Drosophila melanogaster: one gene and its partner. The protein of the gene in region 2 interacts with the protein of the main gene of each other region in a pairwise test. Each region holds a gene or a part of one and is shown on either strand. Other genes may lie near its edges.

What was found.
Region 1: the proteins of CG14969 (region 2) and Recs1 interact in a two-hybrid assay, tested with the Drosophila melanogaster proteins (one large-scale study listed by BioGRID).

The regions. Positions count from the first base shown.
Region 1 is NT_033777.3:14,152,215-14,155,622, reverse strand, and holds Recs1 (Recs1), read left to right. Parts: upstream 1-1,793; 5' UTR 1,794-1,863; coding exon 1,864-2,658; 3' UTR 2,659-2,738; downstream 2,739-3,408. Other genes in the region: CG31533 (uncharacterized protein), read left to right, coding at 1-866; CG44215 (uncharacterized protein), read left to right, coding at 1,191-1,307; CG42500 (uncharacterized protein), read left to right, coding at 3,071-3,301.
Region 2 is NT_037436.4:3,332,333-3,336,812, forward strand, and holds CG14969 (uncharacterized protein), read right to left. Parts: upstream 2,647-4,480; 5' UTR 2,435-2,646; intron 2,376-2,434; 5' UTR 2,226-2,375; coding exon 1,895-2,225; intron 1,840-1,894; coding exon 1,652-1,839; intron 1,594-1,651; coding exon 1,413-1,593; intron 1,361-1,412; coding exon 1,113-1,360; 3' UTR 787-1,112; downstream 1-786. Other genes in the region: CG14961 (uncharacterized protein), read left to right, coding at 1-610; Drsl1 (Drosomycin-like 1), read right to left, coding at 3,247-3,456; Drsl6 (Drosomycin-like 6), read right to left, coding at 3,812-4,030.

The DNA of each region.
Region 1 (3,408 bases), on a different chromosome or scaffold from region 2:
CCATCCTACGATCCTCTGGCCATGTGATGCGTCACTTCCTGATGCGAAGTAGAGATCCGAATATGTGCGGCAAGGTAACAGCTGATTACGAGGAACAGAAACGATTTGGCCATCCCGTGCTCAATATTTGCAAGCGAAATGGTAATATATTCGTAACCCTTCGTCCACTGCCCACTTTGGGTATGAAACAGAAACCCATAACGTTCCGGATCGTCAAGAGCGATATGGCGGTGGCACTGCGCCAGATCAAGCGTGCTCTCAAGGATCAGGGCTTCGAGAAGTGCAAGTGCCACCAGTCCCTGATGATGTGCACCTGTCGCGATGCCTTGGATAAATTTCACCTGAATAAGGCTCTCAAGAAAGAGTGCCAGAAGCGTTTTATAGAGCCATGTCCCGACCACTTGGTGCTTACCGACACAAGTGAGAGCGATTTGGAGTTCGATCTGGATGTGACTCCGCCGGCGGGAACTCGTAGACCGAAGCGCAAAGCCCTTAGGAACGTGGTGAATCATAGCACCCAGACTGCAATGAAGGAGCCACCAGTTATACCGCCTCCATATCCAGTAGCCCACAATCACTTCTATAGGGCCTACGATTGCGCAGCAGGAGATCGGTATATGGGCACAGCCTTCGGCGATAATATAGAGACCGTTTTCGAGGATGGAGTCTTTGGATACCGGGGTGGTGGCCAGCATGGAAAGCCCGTAATCTGGCGACACCCGAAGGTGTGGGGCAAGAAGGCCCAGGCACCACTCCCGATTGGAACCGCTAGGAACGCCATCGATCCTTACCGGTATACCAAAAATGTTTGGAAAGAACTGCCGCGAAAGATAATACAAAAAATGAGAGCAAAATCAAGGAAATAATTGTATTCTTTTATTAAAAGTCAAAATGTAATAAGCGTGTTTTATTTCTCTTAAGCTACAATGGCAGCCGTTTGGAATTATAGGAATTAGTATAATAGTATTATAAATAATTTTATTTTATATTAGGGAGCACATTTTTTGTGATTGTTAATGACGCAATCCAACTTGTTTTCAAAGTATTGCTAAAATTCTATTAATACGAGCATAAGAATTTGATTAAATATGCTAATTATATAGAAATTATAAACTGGTCTCAATCGACTGCAAACGGTAGTATAAAAGCGCCATGCCAACTGTTAGACTGTATTCATTAAAGTTACCAAAATGAAGATCTTCGCTCTGTGCGCCTTTTTGCTCCTCATCCTGGCTGCCGTCCAGGCCAATAGTTCTCCTGAGACCAGTGCGATCTCTGAAGGGAACCTTAAGAAAACTGCTGGATAATTTATAATTTCACGAAAGCTACTTGAATATTGGAATAAATATTCTATTTAGCAGCAGAATTTGTTGTATTTATTTGTATGCCCTTGCAGAGGGTATAATGATTTCAGACAGAAGTTTGCAACGCACTAAGGGGTACATTTGCAACCATTTAAAATATGTATAAATAATAAGTATTAACAGCAGAGTGTATATAGCCATATAGTCATTTAGTTATCCGTAAGTCCGTTTTTGCTCAAATTAGTCACATATTTAAATCTTTACATAAAATTGTTGTTTGAATTTAATAAATACGCATTACTGCAAATGTATATAAGACGGAAGACAGTATTGGATATATATTATTATAATATTATAATATTGTGAATTTTCGAATTCTAAAGAAATGAAGTTAAAGTTATGTTTATGATAGTTACTAATTATGAAAAGAAGATTTATAGTTTCTAAGAAGTAAATTCCATTTAACGTTGACTCTTCTGTCATACTATACTTCAATTTCCGACAAAGGTTATTAAATTAAGAATTAGCAGTTACTTGAAAGTTGTGTTCGAAGGACACAATGCTGGATATTTTACAAGAACCAGTACATCAGTATGGAAATCGGAGCCACCAGGCGGAGTGTATTCCGCTGGGAAGATATACAGCTTACGGATCGGAAATCGGACAGGATGATCCAGACAAGGGCTTGGGATTCTGCAGCGCCAGCATCCGGCGAGGATTCATCCGGAAGGTGTACCTCATCCTGTTGGCCCAACTGATCACTTCCCTGGTGGTTATAGTTTCACTTACTGCTGATAAACGGGTGCGTCTGATGGTGGCAGAAAGCACCTGGATATTTGTGGTGGCCATACTAATAGTGGTCTTCTCTCTGGTGGCTCTGGGCTGCAATGAGGATCTGCGTCGTCAGACCCCAGCTAACTTCATCTTCCTATCTGCCTTCACGATAGCCGAGTCCTTTCTGCTGGGCGTGGCAGCCTGTCGTTATGCCCCAATGGAGATTTTCATGGCCGTGCTAATCACGGCGTCAGTTTGCCTTGGACTCACCCTTTTTGCTCTGCAGACGCGTTACGACTTTACCGTCATGGGTGGCCTCCTGGTGAGCTGCCTGATAATACTGCTCTTCTTTGGAATTGTGACCATCTTCGTGGGCGGACATATGGTCACCACCATATATGCCTCATTGAGCGCTCTGCTCTTCTCCGTTTATTTAGTTTACGATACACAATTGATGATGGGAGGCAAGCATAGGTACTCCATTAGTCCCGAGGAGTACATATTCGCTGCCCTAAATATTTACATGGATGTAATGAACATATTCCTGGACATTTTGCAATTAATCGGAGGATCCGATTAGTTGCATGAAATCTCACAAACACACAGATTATTTTACATCTGCAATTCGACGTCGAGTATTAATAAATCAAATTCAGCAGCAAGCCTATTTTACATTTACTTAAAAGCCTAAATATAGGCTTTAAAAATTTGGATATTTTTTATACAAAGCACAGTTGCCATAAATAATATAATTAAACTTGTTTGCACAAACAAATGCAGAAATAACAAGAATGACCGGTATTCAATGATCGCACCTGTTCATAATCGCTAATTAACGGGCAACCTATATATTGAAATACATTTCGTATAATTTAGTGTTTTGTGACCCAAAAAATAACGAAAAATTATAAAAAAAAAGATAACTGTAAACGGTTACGATATTAGGTATATAAGATCTTCCAGCACCTCAAAGTGTATCAAATTTTGAAACGATGAAGTTCTTTGCTCTGTGTGCCTTCCTCCTCATTGCCCTGGCTACCGTCCAGGCAACTCCCGGTGATCTGCGCCATGTTCCTGTAGGACACGGAGGACACCCAGTCAATGCTGGCCACGGACCTGTGGGACACGCTGGTCCTGTTGGACACGGTCCAGTTGTAGGCCATGGTCCAGTTGTAGGCCATGGTCCAGTTGTGGGACATGGTGTTCATGGTCATTCTGGCTGAAAACTTATCTGAATCCTACAAGGAGCGCAATGCAGACCTTGATGGAAAGAAACGAAGTGTTTGTTCAACACCTTCAGTACAGCATATCCTAATAAAATATTCGATTT
Region 2 (4,480 bases):
GCCCCAGGTGCGATACAGTACGGAGAGCCAGTCCTCGCGGCTGGTTGAGGCACCCAAACCAGAGGAGCAGAAGCAGGAGCCAAAGAAGGAGCAGCAAAACACCCACATCCAAATCCAGATAGCCAGTGACCAGGAGAAGTCTGCAGTGGTGGCCACCACTATTGCTCCGGACTGCGACAGGGGACAGCAGAGAGCAGAGCTGCGGCAGCAGAAGTCCCAGCGCCTGGTGGAAGCACCCAGTTCCGAGGTATCCGCCACCCAGGCTACTCCGTCCCAATCGAAGCCCCAGCCGGATGTGGACGTCTCGCTTAATGGAGCCGCTGGCCATCTGAAACCCAACGAGAGGGTCATCGCAGCAACAGCCGCGCCAACAGATGCCTCCGCCACCAGCGAGACCTTCCACAAGCGCCGCATCGTTGTCAATCATCCATTCCAGACGGTACGCGAAGTGGTCGAGCACGAGCCCTTCACCAACTACCATCAGATTCAGGTGAACGAGCCGGCTCCGCCCTCGCACTACCACCAGGCCTACTACCAACCGGCGCTGCAGACCCACGGGAGTTTGGTCCATTTCCAGACCTCGTCCGCCCATGGCAATCTATACGGATAAGGAATTAGGATTAGGGAAGGATCCGAAGTCGACCAACGAACGAACCCGGCCAATGCACTTCCTCTGCTAATCGTTATCTTAGTGTTAGGCTAGATGCTAAACTTATCATGTACGCAAATCCGGTGGAAGGGCCCTTTCCATGATGACATGACCCTGATCTTCTTTCGCATTAATTTGTTATAAACGCGTAGGCTTAAGTGCAGTTTTACTTGCCAACAATAAAGTGCATATATAATGCTAAAAATGATTTTCTCGTCTTGATTTGCCATGTATATATATATAATATATCACATATGTATATGGCTATACAATTGTTATATAAGTGTTTTGTTTTTGGTTAGGCTCAAGGCAATATATAGTTATATATGAGAAGCATAGAAGATAATAAAATTCGAAAATCCTTGAAATGCTTTGAGCTTTGCTTCTCTAGTTTCTTCAAATTTAAAAAACATTCTTCTTACGCTGATATCGAAGGTTCCTCTAATGAACGCTTTTGATTTTGTTACGCGCGTTTGGGCTTTTCAAGAGGCTCATCGTCACTGGAGTAGTCGGATGCGGGACTGTGAGCAACCTTTTTCCCCCTAGGAGGTTCTTCATCACTGGACTCGTCCAACAGGTGTGTTCCAGCACCGATCAATACATTGGCGATCTTTTCTGTTCGGGCGGAGATTGCAACAGGATCCTCTGTTGAAGTGGACAGCACGGCAGCCGTGATAAGCGTCGACGTGGAGGGCGCGTCCAGTTCAGGTTCTAAAATGCCAAAAATCAGAATATGGGCTTAACCAATGACGATCTTTCCTACCCTGCTCATTGAGCAAGCCATGATTGGCCTCCCGCCGCTTGGTCACTACAACTGCCGTAATATAGAAGGTGAAAATGGGCAGCAGGACAACTACGCCAACGGCGATGAGAAAATTGGTCAGCTTCACCTCGCGTTGACAGCATTTCAGCGTTTTCGACCAATTCAGACGAGTCCGGTTCATCTAAGCAAAAGTAAAGGTGTAAAAATAGGCAAATGTAAATATAAATTTTTAAACTTACATTGTCCTGCAGATCGAAGCACACACTTCCACCGACTTTCTTTTCCATGCTAAGGTAGAAATCATTTAGACTCACGTAATCATTTTTGCACTTGAAGCAAACTAAATCCGAACTAGCAGATTCTAAGCAATTTTGCAACTTTGTTGAGTTATCGCTGTATACAATCCAAAAATTATCCCTGAAGCAATCTGGAAAGTAGGAATAGATCAGTGATTCCCAAATGAACAAAGTACTGATGCACACTTTCGCAGTTGGCCTTTTGCCACAGGCTAGTTAGGATTCCTTGGGTGGTAGCCACTATATTGATCCTGTCCGAGTTCAGATAACGCTTGGAACAGTTGGCGTTCGCAATTAGGTTTCCGTAATCATTGGTGAGATTGCGGTAGAGATCGACGCAGCCCTCACACAAATTCACGGGCACTGATTTTGTGGTGGCGCAGTAGATGAACTTGCTCTGTGCATCGCCAAGATCGGCGAGCAATTTCTCGCAGGAATGTTTCTTCCCGGCCAGCAGCATGTTAAACTGTCCACTTAGAGTTAGGATAAGCCCCAAGAGTGCAATGTAACTCCGCATCTTTTGGTGTGCTTTGCTCTTCGCCTACTTGAACGAGATGAAGGAGGAAACCAGGAGGGCGAGAAGCCGGCGAATCCCCTGGTGCTTCTGTTTGTTGATACGGGTGCTCCCTTTTCGCACACCCAAGTTCTTCTATGAAATATATTCTTTCTGGAGAGGAGTGTCGGGTGAGTTGCTGTTGGCATTACTAACGAAACTCACATTCTTACCCTCTGCACACTAAACAATATCACAATTTAACAAATACTTTTATAAAATCATATATTTTTGTATTGTATTTCGGCTGGAGACATCATCCATCAATAGTTCTGCATGCATTCAGTTACCTGCACACCAAATTGTTGTCCAATTGCAATAGAAGCAATTATTTGGTGTAATTTATAAACAAAACAATAGCAATCATTTAGATGTCCAAAAATATCGGGCCTTTGACACTTCGACTTTTCTTAGTGAGGAATCGCTATGAAAGCGTGGAACATCTGGCAACGCTAAGAGGTTGGCGCGAATTTTCAAATTAACTTTTACAGTAATTGCCAGTTTTCTCACCGAAATTGTAATTGTAAAATCAATTGTCATTGATTTATTTTAATTCCCTAACCAAATTCCTCTTTTCCCCATTATGAAGATCAGCTGCTGTAAGTATCATATCAAAAATAGATCACGAAGTTTACTTTAAAATTGCACGTTTCATTTAGGCAACTGCTGATCAAACTCTGAGCATTGTTTATCATTTATTTGCGAAAAATCTGTAAACAACCCTTCACAATGAGTATATTTCAATGAAAGGAAGTTAAGTGTGTTACATAAATAGATGCAAAAAAAGCGGGGCAGTAGTAATGCTAAAATACATCGTTTTGGATATGAATGACCCAAAACAACCCCAACTTGGGGTTTTTCCATTATCAATCGAGTTCCGTATGATCAGTAAAATATATAAAAATTTTTATCCATAGATAAGAAAGGGTTGTCTATTTATTACTCCATGCACATGAATAGACTCTTCTTACATGTACATCTTTTTTTAGCATCCTTCGCACCAGCATTTTAGACTGGGGCTGCAGTGTCCACTGGTTCGCCCTTCCCTCTGGCAGATATCTACGCACTTCTTCCTGTGCCACACAGCACAGGAACCCCTATATCTTCCGGAAAGGCAGTCGGCATGTGATTCTTCCGCTCCCAGGAAAATTATCATCAAGACAGCGGACAGGACAATTAGGAACTTGATTTCCATAGTTTCGGTAGGAGGTCTGGTAACTTAGTAATTGTTGAAATGCAATCCTCAAGAAATTGATCGCTCTCAGCTCAGAATAAGCGCTTAAATACGTTCCGATCTGTAAGTTTTACACTCAGTACGACGACGCTGTGGTGAAATTTATCTCGTGGAGATAAAAATATTTACCCAGACTTTTCGGCTGCCTTTACAATTTCACCACGTGCCGAATATAACAATGCATTGATCTGAACAATAAATATTGGTTCTTGACTTGATTTTATTTTAAATAATTGTGAATGTTTAGGGAATTGAATTTTATGATTGATACATAATCATTCTGGGTCTATAGAAGTTGTCCAATTTCGGTAGAAATTCAGCATCCTTCGCACCAGCATTGCAGCCTGGCACTGCAGTGACCACTCACTCGTCCTCGTCCCTCCTCTCGGCAAACCCGCCTGCATGTCTCGTTGTCCCAGACGGCACAGGGACCTCTGTACCTTCCGGAAAGGCAGTCGGCATCGGCTTCCTTGGCGCCCAGGATGACCATCATCAGCAGAGCGAGGAAGGTGAACAGGAACTTGATTTGCATCATTTTCAGTAGTTTTCGTGGTGATTGTTTTCTTTGATGTACTAATCAATTCAGATTCGGATCGAATTTGTTTTCAAGTGCTTTCGACGAGCTTATATAGGGCTGGACTAGTCGATGTCGCTGCCAGCGTCGTTCGATTTTATTTATTGATACTACCTTTTGTCTGGATAAATATACAATACACACAATATAATTGTAAGAACGTCTCTCAATCTAGGTCCCATGAATGGTTCAAGGAAAAGCAAACAATAAATGGCGTAATGCACTTAATTATCACAACCAAAACAACAGGATAGTGATATTTGCTACTTTGTGCTTATTGCCTAAAGCACATATATTTTCGAATGCAATTCTATAAAGTTTAAATTCCAACGGAGAGCGCAAAATTCGATATAAGCATCGATAACTGCACCTAGAAGTGTGACCATGTTTCGCGAACCTCAAATACCATGA